Schizosaccharomyces pombe: one gene and its partners. The gene in region 1 interacts genetically with each later gene. Each region holds a gene or a part of one and is shown in the gene's direction. Other genes may lie near its edges. The genes, in order: ppk15, hac1, otu2 and qcr8.

Region 1 (4,510 bases):
AATATTGATGCTCTTGAGATGTACATTTGTTAAGAAAATGAATTAAATTATTCTAACCCCTCCCCCGAAAAAAAAATGAAAAAATACTAAAAAAGATAATGATTATGGAAAATTTTAAAGGAAAAAATTTGTTTCCGCAGCGCTACTCTTGATTATTTCGTAAGACCAAGTAAACTAAATATAAAGCGTTTTGTCTTAAAAAACTATTGCAGTATAGAATGTTTCCTCTACTGCAAAACAAAATCCATACAGCTAGCTCTTAGGGTTATCAATTAGGGTTATTGAAGCCATACATTTTACCTGATCACTGTTTATGGCAGCGATCACAGTCATGTTAAATTACGTTACAAGTCGGTATTTAGCCACGTTCCTTCAACCACTTAGTCAAAAATGGATCGCATTTCTGCTCAAAAAGATATTTTCAAAAAGGGTATGTCCCTGTAAAACTATTAATTTAACATCTTTTAGTCGTCAATAAGGAAAACTCTTCCATTTTCGTGAGTCTTGGCGTATTTGCAGTTTCTGTAGCCATCTTGAAATCCAGACTGGGAAACTTTTTGGTACCACAATTGTAAATGGATGTTTGAATTTCACGGACTAAACGTCTTCAGCTTTGGATTCAGAAAAATATTACTTCATAACGTTGTATGGTTGTTTCATAAATAAAATGAACTCCCAGTTTCAATAAAGGTTCAAAGCTAAACAACATATATCTTTCATGAATATCATTGTGCTTTGTAATTTTTGTTAGCGATCTAAAATTTGAAATATTTATGTTATCTAGTGTCATGCGAAGTACGTAGGAGCATTAGTTGGTAGGAACATTTTTACATATAAGCTAGTTCGATTCTGATATCTTGCGTCTATTTATGTTTCCTTAGATGTTTGAAGTCAATAACCAATATTCGTCCATTCACTACAGATTTTTGTGTGAACATTGGACTAGGAACCATTTCGTTTGTCGTTTATGCGAAAATTTTTATGTACGAATGTAGTCGGCGTGGAGAATGTTTTAACAACGACTCCTTCATTTACAGATAGATGCCAAACAAGAAACGTTTTTCCTCCTTTTAATATCCAACCGGTTACATGGTTGTGCAACATCCAAATATACTAAGTATGGAGAATATCCGTTTTTTCGAAAAATTGCTACTATTCTGAATTAAGGATGCGTACTATTGGTAAACATTGCGCTTGATGTTTCGAATAAGCCTTTCAATGGAAGTTGTTTCTTATTTATCGCGGTTATTGGTATAGACGGATGTTTTGCACCAAATTCATTCGTCTTTTCAAATACGAATTGATTTCGTTGTGGAGAGTAAGAGCAGGAACCTTAATGTAAGCGAAATTATCGCCTTCTTAAGTCATGTCACGGAAACCTGAAACAATATTTAATTATTTAATTGGGATCTAAGATCCAACTATTTAATAATATAAGAATCAAAAGATCCTCTTCTAGTAACTTTTTCTTGTATTTTTTTGCAAGCCAAAGTTTTAATGACGGCCTTTTAATTCATTGATACACTCTATTACGTAATAGATTGAAAATCAGTAAAACTGATTAAGGCATAGCAAGCAATTGTACTTTATTTCAGTCATCGTCAGCGCCGTTACACGCGGCTCACTACAAAGCGGTGTGTCGTCATCCCTTTCCTTCAGATTCCTCTCTATCCTTTAACCAAGCCGCTTTTTTTGGTTAAATCCTTCATCTTTCAATAAATTGCGAAATCTCTCAGTGTTGTTTTTCGTATAAATTTGTAATTTATACGGTGGAGTTGATTAGTTATTCGTTCAACTCGCACTGTGCATATTTATCGGCTTATTTTAGTGAATATTTTCGATTTTCTGCCGAATATTATATTTGTATTTGTAGCTACACGCTATAAACAAGAAAATTAGAAGATTCCTCCAAATTCATATTTTAAGCTTCATATCCACAAGTGTTTCCCTTTGTTCCAGATCGAGATTATCGTAAGCGAAACTAGCTCTTTGTCAGTTGTTCCATTAAATTGATTAGCCGGTTGGTGCGTTCATTTCAAACTCTTTGACTTTTTTCCTTTAAAGCACTTCTTTTTTAGATTCCTTTGGTTAATCTGTCAACTACTACTTTGTAAATAGTATAACTTGTGGTTCCTTTTTGCACTGTTGTGCATCGACTCACGTTCCAAGAGATCACTATTTTACGTTACTTTAAAGTGATTCGAGTGTGAATGAAGGCACTCGTATTCTGCCTATACTGATATATTCTTTGCAATACTTTACAAAAAGGCGTCTCTATTCATATGGATTCGGATTCGCCCATTCTTCCATTATCGAACAATCCTCCTGCTGCGAGGACTCATGATCACTCGCAGCGTAATAATCATGCTCGTCATGTCTCGTCTTCTGGAACAACTTTGTTTGCTCCTGTCAAACCGGCAACCAAGAAATACAATTACAGAAGGGTGTCTCCCCATGGAAGCTATATTAGCGTACGAAATTTTTTACTTGCTCTGCATTTTACTAATTAAACATATAGCCCTTAGAAGCAATGACTGTGAAACTAGCTGATACATATTCAATTTGTAATCCAAAATTCCAGTTTTCTTCCGAACAAAACCCTCGGAGACCACTCACCAAACCCAGTGAAGGAGTTCACAACCATGGTTTTGATAACGTCAATCATGATTATGTATTGTATGTTAACGATTTGCTAGGAACGGATGAAGGCCGTAAATATTTGATTCTCGACACCCTGGGGCATGGCACATTTGGTCAAGTTGCTAGATGCCAAGATCTTAAAACCCAACAAATTGTAGCTATTAAAGTTATCAAAAATAAGCCGGCATTTTATAACCAATGTGTGATGGAGGTTTCTATACTAGAGCTCCTTAACAATAAGTACGATCCAGAAGACAAGCGCCATTTAATTCGTTTATATGATCAATTTATGCATAAAAATCATTTGTGTCTCGTTTTTGAGTTACTCAGTATTAATCTTTATGAGCTTATCAAGCAAAATCAGTTCCGTGGTTTACATTTAAGTCTTGTTCGTTCTTTCGCAACGCAACTTCTATCGTGCACATCTCTCCTCAAACAAGCTCGAATCATACATTGTGATCTAAAGCCGGAAAATATCCTGTTGCAGGATTTATCATCACCGATTGTGAAAGTGATAGATTTTGGTAGTGCTTGTCACGAACGCCAAACAGTTTATACCTATATTCAATCGCGATTCTATCGCAGTCCGGAAGTAATTTTAGGACTACATTATAACTGTGGAATTGATATGTGGTCTTTGGGATGCATTTTAGCTGAACTATTCTTAGGTCTTCCCTTGTTCCCTGGAAATTCCGAATATAATCAATTATGTCGGATTGTTGACATGCTTGGTAATCCTCCCACTTGGATGTTAGAAATGGGTAAAAATTCGAAGAAATATTACAATTCTGGTTTTGTAAACGGTAGAAAAACTTATGAGCTTAAATCGATCGAACAGTTTTCTATCGAAAACAACAAAACAGAGCAACCTGGAAAACAATATTTTGGTGAAAAGACACTCGATGCTATTGTTTTAAATTATCCTCGCCGAAAAACCACACCTAAGCTTACTCCTGAAGAACATGAAGAGAGACTTTGTTTCATCGATTTCATAAAGCAGTTTTTAGAGTTAAATCCTTTGAAGAGATGGACTCCTGACCAGGCGAAAAATCATCCTTTTATCACAGGTGCCTCTTTCAGTCAATACTGCATTGACAAACAAAAACCACTGCTTACAACTCAAAGAACGAGGAACCGTTCTCATACTATTGGAAATCAAGCGGTGGTTCCTCCTTCCTTACAGCGTGCAAGCACTTATGTTTCCAACGAACCTGAAGAATTTGTACATACTCGACCGCTGCCTCAATATTATCCTCCCGCTAATGAGAACGAAAATGTAGATGAATTTTTCTAATGTCATATTTTACGTATAGAAACATTCAAATTTATTTAAAATATTTAATAGGCATGATCCATTCCAAATTTTTTTTTTATGTTGTACCAATTTTCTAATAGCTTTCGTAAAACGTTTTCAATTTTCATAAAGCATTCAAACTTTTGATGATATATACATACTACGAATATTTTCAAAGTTCCTTCGAGGCTTCAATATGCAGTTTTCAATAGTAAATAGTATAAAGCATTTACAAATTTAACGCTATATTTAGCGCTACGGTAAATACTCTATGTAGAGAGGTTTTATACTTTTATGTAGTAGACATTCACAAATCGCCAAAATGAAATCAAGTTCACTTGAAAATGGGACTCTTGCTAATGCGGGTGTTTACGAAGATGATCTAGATAGCGACGAAGAATTGGTCTCAGAAGAAGAATTTGAAAACTTTAATAATGAAGATTCAGAAGACGATGAAGACTCAAACAACGAATCAAAAACAGCTAAAAGTCGTATGTTAAAAATTCTTTTATTTTCTTAATTAATATTTACTCACAAATTTGAAGAGTTAGCTGAGATTCCGTTTGATACATTGTT
Region 2 (4,664 bases), on another chromosome or scaffold:
ACTCTTACTATTTACCAATTCTCTTGAGCAGATGAAGAGAGGAATATTTTAAAAAATTAGTGTAATCCACGATAACGTACAATTTGCTTTTTCAGAAATCACACACGATTTCGTTAGTAAGTTTAGCCGAACTTTAGAGTTGTGCCTTATACAGATATCTAGAGATCATTTCTGTATAGCGAGCGACCTTTAGTACGACACACTTAGCAAAGTCAATGACGTTTCAGTCAAACAAGTGACTTATATAGGATTCATACGTGCATCCCATTTCATCGTTTGCCAACATGTCCCTCGCTTGGAAAAATGAGTTATTGAAGCTTTTAAAAGAAAATGTCGACTCCAGTGGAGTTATTCATCCCGAATACTTCCAGCTGGCAACTTTACCCACTGGTAATGAAATTTACCCCAGAAATCGTACTGTAGCTATTCGAGGATTTGTCGGTACAGGATGGCATAAACCACGTCCCGATGATGTGCTAGCTACAGATTTATTGGTATTCTCTACGGATATTGCTTCTCACAAAGCTGCTGAGATTGCTGAGCAGCAAAAAAATACATTCCCCTCTGGACCCATACCGAACGCATTTGAAATGTGTGGATGGTTACCAAAGACAATGCAGCAAATTCGTATTTCCGGTCAAATTTGGTTATACACACCAGAACTTGCCGACCGAAATGAATTTCCCGCAGACAAGTTGATCCAGGATCATTTAATAAACAGCAATGGCCGCATTCCCGAAGAATGGTCTTGGGAAGAGGAAAGAAGACGTATTTGGGAGTTACATAGTCCTGAACTTCGCGCTTCCTTTTCTACTCCTCCTTCATACTCCAAATACCAAGGCGATGTGAAGGTGTCACCTTTACCTTCTACCCTCACTGGAAAAGAAGATCCCGGGGTTATTGAAGCTTGGAAGACTGCTTGGGGTAGATTTTCTCTTGTTGTTTGTGAGGCTAACGAAGTCGAGTTTTTGAATCTTACCCCTCCTCCAGGAAAGCGCGTTTTGCACAATAGAGATCTAAACACGAAACAATGGTCCTCCACTCGTGTCAATGTCTAAATGTTTTCCTTTTTTTTCGCACATCCTTTATGAATTGATTGCTCTTGATAAACGTGCAATACTTATGAACTACGAATATTAACTTATAATGATTACTCCTAACATTTTGGTTCTTTTTTTTTGTGGAGTATATGAAAAAGGTCTGATTCCCTCAAATTTGCCTAGCTTACAATTCGGTGGGTTTTGTAGTTGAATTTTTTTTTAGTACTGAAGCATAATACTGAGTACAAACTACAAACTCAGTGTATTCCGAATTTTCTAATGTTTATTTACGTTGTTAAACAACTAAATTATCACTTATCCTATGTCAAATTTCCAATCCGGCCACTTGATGAACTATTTACGTTTATAATAAATAAAAAATTATGAAAATTGTGTGTATTAAAGTACTTACAGGAAGACATTGTAAAAAATTGTTGCGAGATTAAGCAAATAGGCCAACCTACCTGCTAATGATGATCATTTATTAAAAGATCTTACCTGTATAATATTATATTAAGGTTATTACTATATGGCTTGTTTTATTATCTTATATTGTCTTACGCAGGTAGAAATGTAGCAAAAAAAAGGGAATAAAGCACCACATAAGAAACACAATGTCTTATTTGAAGGGACGGTGAATTGCCAAGTCATTTAATTTTATCGAATCAGTATTCATAGAACCGTAAAGGTCCCCGTTGAGTTAAGTGGCATTATTGAATACATGTGTGGATCTTAACTTATTAACGATACAAATTTAAAACCTGTTAACGTATTCCTTACTATACATTAAATACTTTAAGGAATTTTACCAAATTGGCTTATACATTGGATTATTAGTACTCGGTTACATAAGGGATTAGCAATTTCAAATACAGGATTGCTCATCCATCATTTTTTAAGCATTGCTGTTATTTAAGCTCATCTAGATCAGAACTTCTTTTTCTCTCTAAAGTATAGAACACTTGGTTTACAGAGTGACATACACTTCAGTTTGTCAGTTTATTGAGAAATAGGGACGGTATTGCTAGCTACTGGAACCAAACCCACCTTTACTTTGCTTTAGTCTTTTCTTGTTTTCTTCTGTCTTTCTTTTGCATTGAGCTTTTCATCGCTTTTGTTTGGTGAACAATATTATTCAATTTAGAGGTACATATTAATTTGTAATAACAATGTCTATAAGCTTTTCGGAATTGGTAGCTAAGACATTGTTGGACTTAGAGGTTAAAGTTGTTTTTGGCATTGTTGGCATTCCCGTAATCGAAATTTGTGAGGCTATCCAAGCAAGTGGAATTCGGTTTGTCGGGTTTCGCAATGAGCAAAGCGCAGCTTATGCAGCGACTGCCTATGGCTATTTAACTCAGCGCCCTGGGGTCTGTGTCGTGGTAGGCGGTCCTGGCGTTGTACATGCCATGGCCGGTGTTTTCAATTCTAAAACCAATCGATGGCCTTTGCTGCTTTTGGCTGGATCCAGTGAAACATTTCAGCAAAACTGTGGGGCCTTCCAAGAATTGGACCAGGTTTCTTACTTATCACCTCATACGAAATTAGCCGTGCGCCCCCCAAGTCCCAAAATGGTTGTTGATTCCATTCGAAGAGCGTATCGTGTCTCCATGACCGGCACTCCTGGAACATGCTATGTTGACTTGCCAGCAAATTATATTGAATCTACTGTCGATGACTTTCCTAAAGACCCTCTACCCCCAATTCCTAGTTCTCCCAAATGTGCACCTGATCCAACACAGCTTCAGAAGGCTGCATACTATTTAAAAAATGCAAAGGCACCTCTGCTTGTCGTTGGTAAAGGTGCCGCATATGCCTGCGCTGAAAAACAGCTCTTGGAATTTGTTGAACATACTGGCATTCCGTTTCTTCCGAGTCCCATGGGCAAAGGTTTGTTACCAGAATCGCATCCCTTAAATGTGTCTTCGGCAAGGTCAGCTGCTCTTCGTAATGCAGATGTAGTGCTCTTAGCAGGGGCACGTTTAAATTGGATATTTCAATATGGTCTTCCACCAAAGTGGTCTCCTAATGCCAAATTTATTCAAATTGATACCAATGCTGAAACTTTAGGAAACAATGCTGCAGATTTGGATTTAGCAATTTGGGCTGATGTAGGTCTGACAATAGATTGTCTTTTTAAGCTCGTTCAAACTTGGAAGTACAGTGTTGGCATCTCGACCCCTTACCTTCGCACGTTAAATGAAACCCGATCCAAGAATGAGAAAAAGGCTCTTGAATCTCGAAAGTCCAGTATACCGTTGCAAATGAATTATGCTTTGTATGTCGTGAATGAGGAGCTACAAAGCTTATCGCTCAAATCAAAGCGTAATATCACTTGGGTTTCTGAAGGCGCCAATACAATGGACCGGGGCCGTCAGCTTTTAGAAGTAACTCATCCACGTGGTCGACTGGATGCAGGCACTATGTCAACAATGGGAGTTGGTATGGGATATGCTATTGCCAGCGCATTTGCCCATTCATCCGACAAAATAGTGGTAGTTGAGGGTGATAGTGCTTTTGGCTTTAGCGCCATGGAACTGGAAACCGCCATACGCAACCAGCTGGATCTTTTGGTAATTGTAATCAATAATAATGGTGTTTACCATGGATTAGATACTGATGCTTATGAAACTTTACGTGATAATCACCAATTACCGACTACTGCCTTAGGCACTAGTATACGTTATGATCAAATTTGCGAAGCATGTGGTGGTAAAGGTTTCTTTGTAAAGAATGAAGAAGATTTGAGAAGTTCCCTCAGGAAAGCATGGCAAACCTCATCTGTATCTCTCATAAATGTTATGGTGGACCCGGAGGCTGCTCGAAAATTGGTAAGTATTAATGGAATGAATTAGGTATAAGAACAAGCTAACAATCACTAGACATTTGCATGGATGAGCAGTACCAAAGTGAAACCAAAGTTATGACCATCATTTAATTAAAAATAGAAGAAGTGATGTTCTTTTACGATTCTTAAAAATCGGAATACAGTTATTGTTGCTATTCAAATAAAGTCGTTTATTAAAAAAAAGTATTAAATATAATCTAAAGGAAATTAAAAATATTAAAAAATATAAAGATAGTGATAAAACAGCAGAATTAAATAAGCTTAGAGTATGCTTGTTCTATGTCCTTCAGCAACCATTCCTTAGTAGAATTACGATTTCTTCTTAAAGGTAAAGCACCTTCATATGTACCATTATTAGGCTGAGCTGGTAAATCTAATATATGCGAAAGAATGCCATAAATTTCGGTGTTCTGGAACGGTGCAAGCTTCTTTCCCTTAAAATTCTTAAAAGAAGATCCTGAAGCGATAAAAAGTGCTCTCATCACTGGAGACAAATTGTCATAACCATGTACACCCAAAGGCTCATACTCCAACTCCGGTGAATGATCCAGCATCGAGACAAGAGACCATCCAACATCCGGGATCATCCAAACGGGAGCTATTCTTTCATTATTTGAGTAATGCCATCGAGAAGGTATATCTTTCTTTGAATAAACATTCCAATTCTCAGCAGAAGGTAATGACGAGCGAGAATAATTAACAAGACTTTCGTAAATGTACTCATCATCTAAATCAGATTCTCCTCTAAAACCTCCTAACGGCCAAGCATCTCTGTG
Region 3 (3,512 bases), 2.4 Mb from region 1:
GCGATATAGCTTGCTTACAAATAATGCTATTGTGTTTGCGCTTGTACTGGGATCTGCATTTTACCATTCTTGGATAACTCTTGGATGTGGAAATGCAAATTTTTATTACGCAAGTAACCTCATTCTTGCTCTTGGACTCTCTTTAAAAATCATGGACTTTCTCAAGGCACTGCTTTTGGTTGATTGGTATGCCAATCACCCACAGCATGAAAATATTCCATTAAAACAGGTTCAATAAAGTAATCTGTTAATTAGAAAATGATATTCTTAGGCTTCATCTATCCAATTTCATCATTAGAGCCTCACCTTTCTGACCTTACGAAACGACCTTTTCCAATTTAACGTTTAGAAATTATTTATTCATACATACAAATAGGAAATTTATATTTCATATTTTTTTCCTTTTCCGAGACGATTCAAGGACTTTTTTTATTTTTTTTCATATTAGGTATTCATGGCATCCCATGGCACTACTCCCTTTACCACGAAGTACCCATGAAAAGTTTTATGCAAAACTTCATCAGCCATTGATGTTTAGTTCCAAAAGATATTTGAATTCCTTTGGTTGGGAGGAAGGAAACGCTTTAAAAGAAGGAGGGCTCACCAAACCAATTTTAACTTCTAGAAAATATAATACTCATGGGGTATGTCAGAATAAAAAATCTTAGAAAAAGATGGGTTTTTTCAGTAAAGTTATGTATGAATTTATTTTTAACACACGGTAGCTTGGTGCTAAACATGATATTGCTGATCAATGGTGGGATAATGTTTTTTCTGCTCAACTACAGTCAATTCAAGTAAATACGGACAACGGAAAGGTAAAAACAACTTAAATATACAATTTTTCCTATCTCTTTTACACAGTGCTAACATTTGGAAAAGGTTGCAGTCCAAAGCAATGGTGTATCTACAAAATTGAGAATGGCAAAATATCACAGCAAATATTCTGCTCTGTCTTCTGTGTTTCGTTATGCTGGTCGACTTTGTGGTACCTTTGAGGAAGATTTAGTTGATAAGAGTCTTGATTCCTCTGTTTCTCCAGTATCGTCCAAGAAAGTCAAAGTCAGAAAAACTTCTGGCAAAGAGTCTTCAAAACGAGAGAAGTCCAAAAAGAAAAAAGAAAAGAAGGAGAAGAAGGACAAGTTGAAAAAAAAATCCAAGAGATTAAAATTAGATGATTCTCATACTCAAAAACGAAAAAGAAAGGTTCGTGACAAAGAATCAAAAAAATCGTCTAAAAGTGGACTTAAGAAGGTTTCGGGTACTAAAAAGGTAAAGGCTTAAAAGGAAAGAAAAATCGTTTGCCTAGCTTTAAATATGAACAAGAATTGGAATTCTTTATTTTACGATTCGTCCAGAAGTCTTCGAACATCCAAACAGCAAGTTTTCTAATTCTTTGAAGTTTCAAAAACACACTTTATTTAAAGCTTTTTATTTGTTTTTCTTGTAGTTTCATTTCGTTTATCAGCGGGCATACATTTGTTGAACGACGGGGTGTATTATATGGGTATCAAAGAATTTGGTATTTGGAAACAGGAGTCTAATTGTATATAAATAATTAATAAATTATTAGAATTGAATTGTTTTACAAATTAAATGATGTTTAATAGGATCCTAGTAAAGAATATATATTTTATTATAAAACTCTGCATTGGATGATTGAATGTTTACAAAATGAATAAAAGGCTATGCATGGAAAGGGAATATTATACTATGTAAATATAATGTCTAAATGAATTAAATTGGAAGCATCGAATGAGATGTCCATTAGCATATTATTACACTCAAACTACCATACCAACTCAACAAAAACGAAAGTCTAAAAAAATGGAGGAATTGTTAAGTAAGCAACGGGAAGAATGTAAAGAACTTCAAAGCAAAATTACAAACCTTCGTAAACAACTAAAGGAAGGAAATAAAAAACAAAAAAGGGCTTTGCAGCAAAAAATCTCACAAATGGAAGCCGATTTATCACAAAAACATGCTACAGAACGACAAAAATTGGATAAAGGCGATGAAGAGACAAATGAAACGCAGCAAGAAGATCTCCTCAATACGCTTTTACAACAGATGGAAGATACGAAAATTACGACGGCAGAAAAATCATCAGTTCAGTCCTCATTGAATACTAAAGAAAATACACCGCAACAGCCTAAAAAGTCTAGGAATAGACAAAAAGAGCGACTTGTAAGTGCTTAACTTTTGACGAATTATCACTAACAAAGTTAATTAGGAACGACGTAAAGCAGAGATGAAAAAAATGTCTGAGCAGGCAGAGCTAGAGTCAGAAAAAATGGCTGATCTCAAAAATGAAGAGAAAAAAAAGTTTTCAAAAATCCTTGAGGAAGCTGGACTTGTTGCAGTCGATATACCAGCGGATGGAAATTGTTTATTTGCTTCCATTTCACATCAGTTAAATTATCATCATAATGTTAAACTAAATAGCCAAGCTCTTCGTAATAAATCCGCTGATTATGTATTAAAGCACTGCGAACAGTTTGAAGGCTTTTTGCTAGACGAAGAATCTGGAGAAGTTTTGCCAGTATCCGATTATTGTAACGAAATTCGAAACAATAGCAAATGGGGAAGTGATATTGAAATACAGGCATTAGCAAACTCTCTTGAGGTTCCTGTTCATGTCTACAACACAGAAGGTCCAGTTTTAAAGTTTAACCCCTCAACGGTCAAGTTCGAAAAACCGTTGTGTATAGCATATTACCAGCATTTGTTTGGGCTTGGCGCTCACTATAATAGTTTATTATATCGGGACAATTAAAAAGATCTAATGAGATGCTTTAGATAGGTTTTTATCCTTTGGTTTATTAGCTTCCTTCCTCGCCGGAAACCATTTAAAAAGGCTGTGCCTTACGAGTTAGATTATATGAATAATATTTATGAATTAAAACTCTTCTGTATTCTATTAATCAAAAAAAAAAATTAGCCATTATTATCTATCATATCCAGTCATATAGTATGCACAATAAATATTACCAAACATGCTTAGAAAGCTTCATCAGGGAAGCATTAGAAACGGTAGAACAATAAATAGAATTAAGGTAGAACATTACTTGTAGCTGTAAGGGGGTGGTGCCTCATCACTTTTTCTTGGAGGCGGTATATGTGGTTGAGGACGAACGTTAGGAATATCGGTTTGTTGCGAACTTGAGCCAGGAAAAAATGCATGCTGTTGAGCACTCGCCTCAGGTCTTTCGGGAGTAGGAAGATCTTCACGCCTGCGCCTTTGATCAATCATGGCCGAATCTACTGGTTCATACCACCCACAATGAGAACAACGAAGTACCTGCTCTGAGTTAGCAAGTGAGTGCTTATTAGTTGGACAGCAAAATAATCCCAACTTTCCCTGGAAAGCATGTAACATTGAAGATTGAAGAATGGCTTAGAAAATAACAAACAAGGTCTGTCAGGTTTCCAAACAATGATAAGTAGAAAGGGTCAACTACATAACATATGCTTTCTTGAATTCCCTTACCTTACTCGTATAAACCGGGAGA
Region 4 (3,054 bases), 2.2 Mb from region 1:
ATCAAGATACCAAGTGCGATCTCTGCTGCCAAAAATAATGGAAGTAGGATTCCGTTTGATTAAAAATTCTCGAGGGAAAAAAGGCGTTTTTAACGAATCTTCACGAATTTATGCGATACCCATATTTGTCTGTTTACTTTAAAAGTAATATCTAAAGTCAATAAAATTACCAACAGTACAGCATATTTGTTTATTTCATTATGCTAAAAAAACTCTACATAAACAATCAACCCTAATTTTAGCAGCATTAATATAGCCATTTCATCAGCACAAAACCCAAAATAATTGTCGTTTTAAAAATAAGGTGACAAATCATAATTTTGAGTTCTGAAATAAAAAAATTTGGAAATATTTATTTTCGTTAAGAACCCAAATTTGTCAAAATCATAATGCGTGGAAAAGTACAACTTTTATATAACATCTCTTTAATTTTAAAGGGATAATAAGATAAAGCTGATATGTTTAGGGGAGCTCGAATAAACCTTATGAATTTGCTGCTAGAAGCAGATACATGGAATGAATTAAGGATTTACATTAAGAAGCAACCCAGAACCACTGGAACTTTGGGCATTAGAACCAGCTCCAAAGGGAAGATAAGTGACCTGTGCACCTTTATTAGCAAGTGCAGTAGCCACCTCTTTACTTGTCTCGAGACGACGAATTTGGATTAAAGCGCCACCGGCTTTATCAAGTGCTTTGGAAACAATATCAGCCGCTTCTGCTTCACCCTCAGCGCGAATAACATTAGCTTGTCGCTCTTGTTCGGATTGTTCTACTAAAAATCTAGCACGCTCGGCTTCTTGTTGAGCAATTTGTTTTCTCTCTACGGCTTTCGTAAATTCTTTTCCAAAAGTCATATGAGTAATGGATACATCTTCCAACCGAATTCCAAATTCGGTAGCTCGTTGAACTAGTTCTTGGCGAATTTTGGCAGAAACTACTTCTCTTTGAGTAATGAGCTCTGCTGCATCAAACTGAGCAACTACGGATTTTAAAATTTCGTTTCCAATAGAAGGTAAGACACGCTCATCATAATCTAAGCCTAAATTTTGGTAAATTTGAGGAAGCATTCCAACTTCGGGACGGTGTAATACACGCAATGTTAAAGAAACCATCTGTAAATCTTTACTACCCGTAGTAGTTGCGATATTTCGTGGACGTGTGCGTACATCATAAACAATTGCCTTTTGTAACCATGGAATCAAAAAGTGTGTGCCCTCCTGAACAACCTGTTTCTGCACACCCGACAGACGGTCAAACAAAACTGCTCTTTTTCCCCCCGGTACATCGTAAATCGAAGATTGTAATAGAGTAAATCCAATACCTATTGGTATTGCATAACGTGCAACTCTCTCCAGTACTACAGCCATCTCTTTAATAGTACGTTGAGCGCTGGACTAAAAGACCAAACTGAAAGGGAAGTCCGTTTGAGCAAGACTAAGTATGACTTAACTGCAACCTCTAGGAAAATCTATATTCATGATTAATAAATACATGATCTTATTATTTAGAATTTTAATAGTAAAACTAAATAAAAATCTTGAATAAAAAACCAAGAATTTGTAAACGTCTGAATTATTATTGGTCTAGCAGACCCGCACACTTACCCTTAACAAACATCTGACTTTGTAACGGCAATCATCAATATATTATTGTTTTAACAAAATGGGTGGTGCTGCTGGAGGAAAAACTTATTTGTAAGTGCAACTTAAAGCAGTTTCTGTTTATAATGGGTTATATGACTTTTCTTTGACGCTTATAGCGTGAGACGGTGGACACAATTGGTGTTTATTTCGTAAAGCCATTTTCGTCAGCGAAGTTATATACATTCAAATAGCTGCTGAGAATATCATTGAACGTTTTTATTTATACTAACACATGAATAGAGGATGGTGGGGCCATCTGTAAGTGCTATAACAATTTGATACATTTTTACTTACTTTAATAAGAGGTGGACCTAAACAAAAAGGAATCATAACATATTCCCTTTCCCCATTTCAACAGAGACCAATGGCCGGCTTCTTCAAAACTTCTACGCAAAATATGTTTCGTCGCGTCATGACTGAAGGTCTATACGTAGCAATTCCGTTTGGAATAGCTTACTATATTTACTGTTGGGGGAAGGAGCGTAATGAATTCCTCAATTCCAAACATGGAAGACACGTAAGTTAATGACTGAAGAATCGATAAGCAGCTATGGTTTGCAGCATTTTTCTATACTTCTAAATTGTGTCAATAATTGTCATTTTACTAATATGTGGTTTAGTTGGTGGAGGAATAATGATGAGAATGAAGTATTCATTTTGGTAGAAGGATTTACAAAATTCTTCCCTACCCTTTCCTTATTGGGTTTACAATTACTATCTCTCTCCTCTCATTATGCTTAGTATCAGAAATCTATATATCCAACAAAATTACTTTGTGATATGATCTATCTCTTGAATTTGAAAACATTATTACTCTTAGTTTTGACTTTCATTTGATTTTGTCTTATAAAAGACAAGTTGTAATGCTGAAACAGCGTCTTCTTCGCTATCGTGTGTAGAAGTTTGTATTGTTGTTCCCAGATATTTTTTAGTCAAATATTTTAAGGAATATCTAAACGGCGGGCCTCTGGCATGCGTAAATAGAAGAGCAGTATCTATGACACGTTTGTGAATAAGCCTCATCGCATTCAAATCGTTTTCTAAACCATGTCCTATTAAAATTGTATTTTTATTCATGCCAAGTTCCTTTATTTTAATATACATTTGATCCATGGTAATTCCTGATTCTAATTCTTTGGCATCATGTATCCCGCTAAATCGAGTATTGAGACTCAAAATTTTGCCTTTAGGCTTTATAAACACATCCATAATAATGCTTTCCTTTGCTACCACCGTCAAACGAGCCAATTCCATCCCGTTCGTAGTGTAGCATAGTTCACAATCTAACGCGCAATGACTTAATTGCTTGCTATTTGTACTGTCTGGTAAGTAGGAAAATGGATGAACGCTAGCAAGATACGGAAGATGTCGGTATTTGAACACATGGTTGTCTTCTATAATACAACCA

Evidence for each region.
Region 2: mutations in ppk15 (region 1) and hac1 together harm fitness less than expected from each alone (positive genetic interaction), as found in Schizosaccharomyces pombe (one large-scale study listed by BioGRID).
Region 3: mutations in ppk15 (region 1) and otu2 together harm fitness less than expected from each alone (positive genetic interaction), as found in Schizosaccharomyces pombe (one large-scale study listed by BioGRID).
Region 4: mutations in ppk15 (region 1) and qcr8 together harm fitness less than expected from each alone (positive genetic interaction), as found in Schizosaccharomyces pombe (one large-scale study listed by BioGRID).

The regions. Positions count from the first base shown.
Region 1 is NC_003424.3:2,583,473-2,587,982, forward strand, and holds ppk15 (serine/threonine protein kinase Ppk15), read left to right. Parts: upstream 1-1,700; 5' UTR 1,701-2,282; coding exon 2,283-2,471; intron 2,472-2,518; coding exon 2,519-3,934; 3' UTR 3,935-4,002; downstream 4,003-4,510. Other genes in the region: tom6 (uncharacterized protein), read left to right, coding at 391-430, 469-575.
Region 2 is NC_003423.3:1,206,756-1,211,419, forward strand, and holds hac1 (2-hydroxyacyl-CoA lyase Hac1), read left to right. Parts: upstream 1-1,919; 5' UTR 1,920-2,209; coding exon 2,210-3,871; intron 3,872-3,922; coding exon 3,923-3,967; 3' UTR 3,968-4,101; downstream 4,102-4,664. Other genes in the region: SPOM_SPBC725.03 (pyridoxamine 5'-phosphate oxidase), read left to right, coding at 285-1,058; npp1 (nucleotide pyrophosphatase), read right to left, coding at 4,140-4,664.
Region 3 is NC_003424.3:4,969,362-4,972,873, forward strand, and holds otu2 (OUT family ubiquitin-specific cysteine protease Otu2), read left to right. Parts: upstream 1-1,804; 5' UTR 1,805-1,827; coding exon 1,828-2,187; intron 2,188-2,233; coding exon 2,234-2,776; 3' UTR 2,777-2,945; downstream 2,946-3,512. Other genes in the region: gab1 (Pig-U family GPI transamidase subunit), read left to right, coding at 1-238; tma23 (ribosome biogenesis protein), read left to right, coding at 531-644, 726-818, 883-1,284; SPOM_SPAC1952.04C (uncharacterized protein), read right to left, coding at 3,065-3,301, 3,491-3,512. UniProt on the Schizosaccharomyces pombe protein: Hydrolase that can remove conjugated ubiquitin from proteins and may therefore play an important regulatory role at the level of protein turnover by preventing degradation.
Region 4 is NC_003424.3:4,765,445-4,768,498, forward strand, and holds qcr8 (ubiquinol-cytochrome-c reductase complex subunit 7), read left to right. Parts: upstream 1-1,611; 5' UTR 1,612-1,665; coding exon 1,666-1,697; intron 1,698-1,886; coding exon 1,887-1,904; intron 1,905-1,949; coding exon 1,950-2,163; intron 2,164-2,266; coding exon 2,267-2,281; 3' UTR 2,282-2,462; downstream 2,463-3,054. Other genes in the region: ypa2 (serine/threonine-protein phosphatase 2A activator 2), read left to right, coding at 1-63; prohibitin Phb1, read right to left, coding at 522-1,370; exonuclease Rex3, read right to left, coding at 2,463-3,054.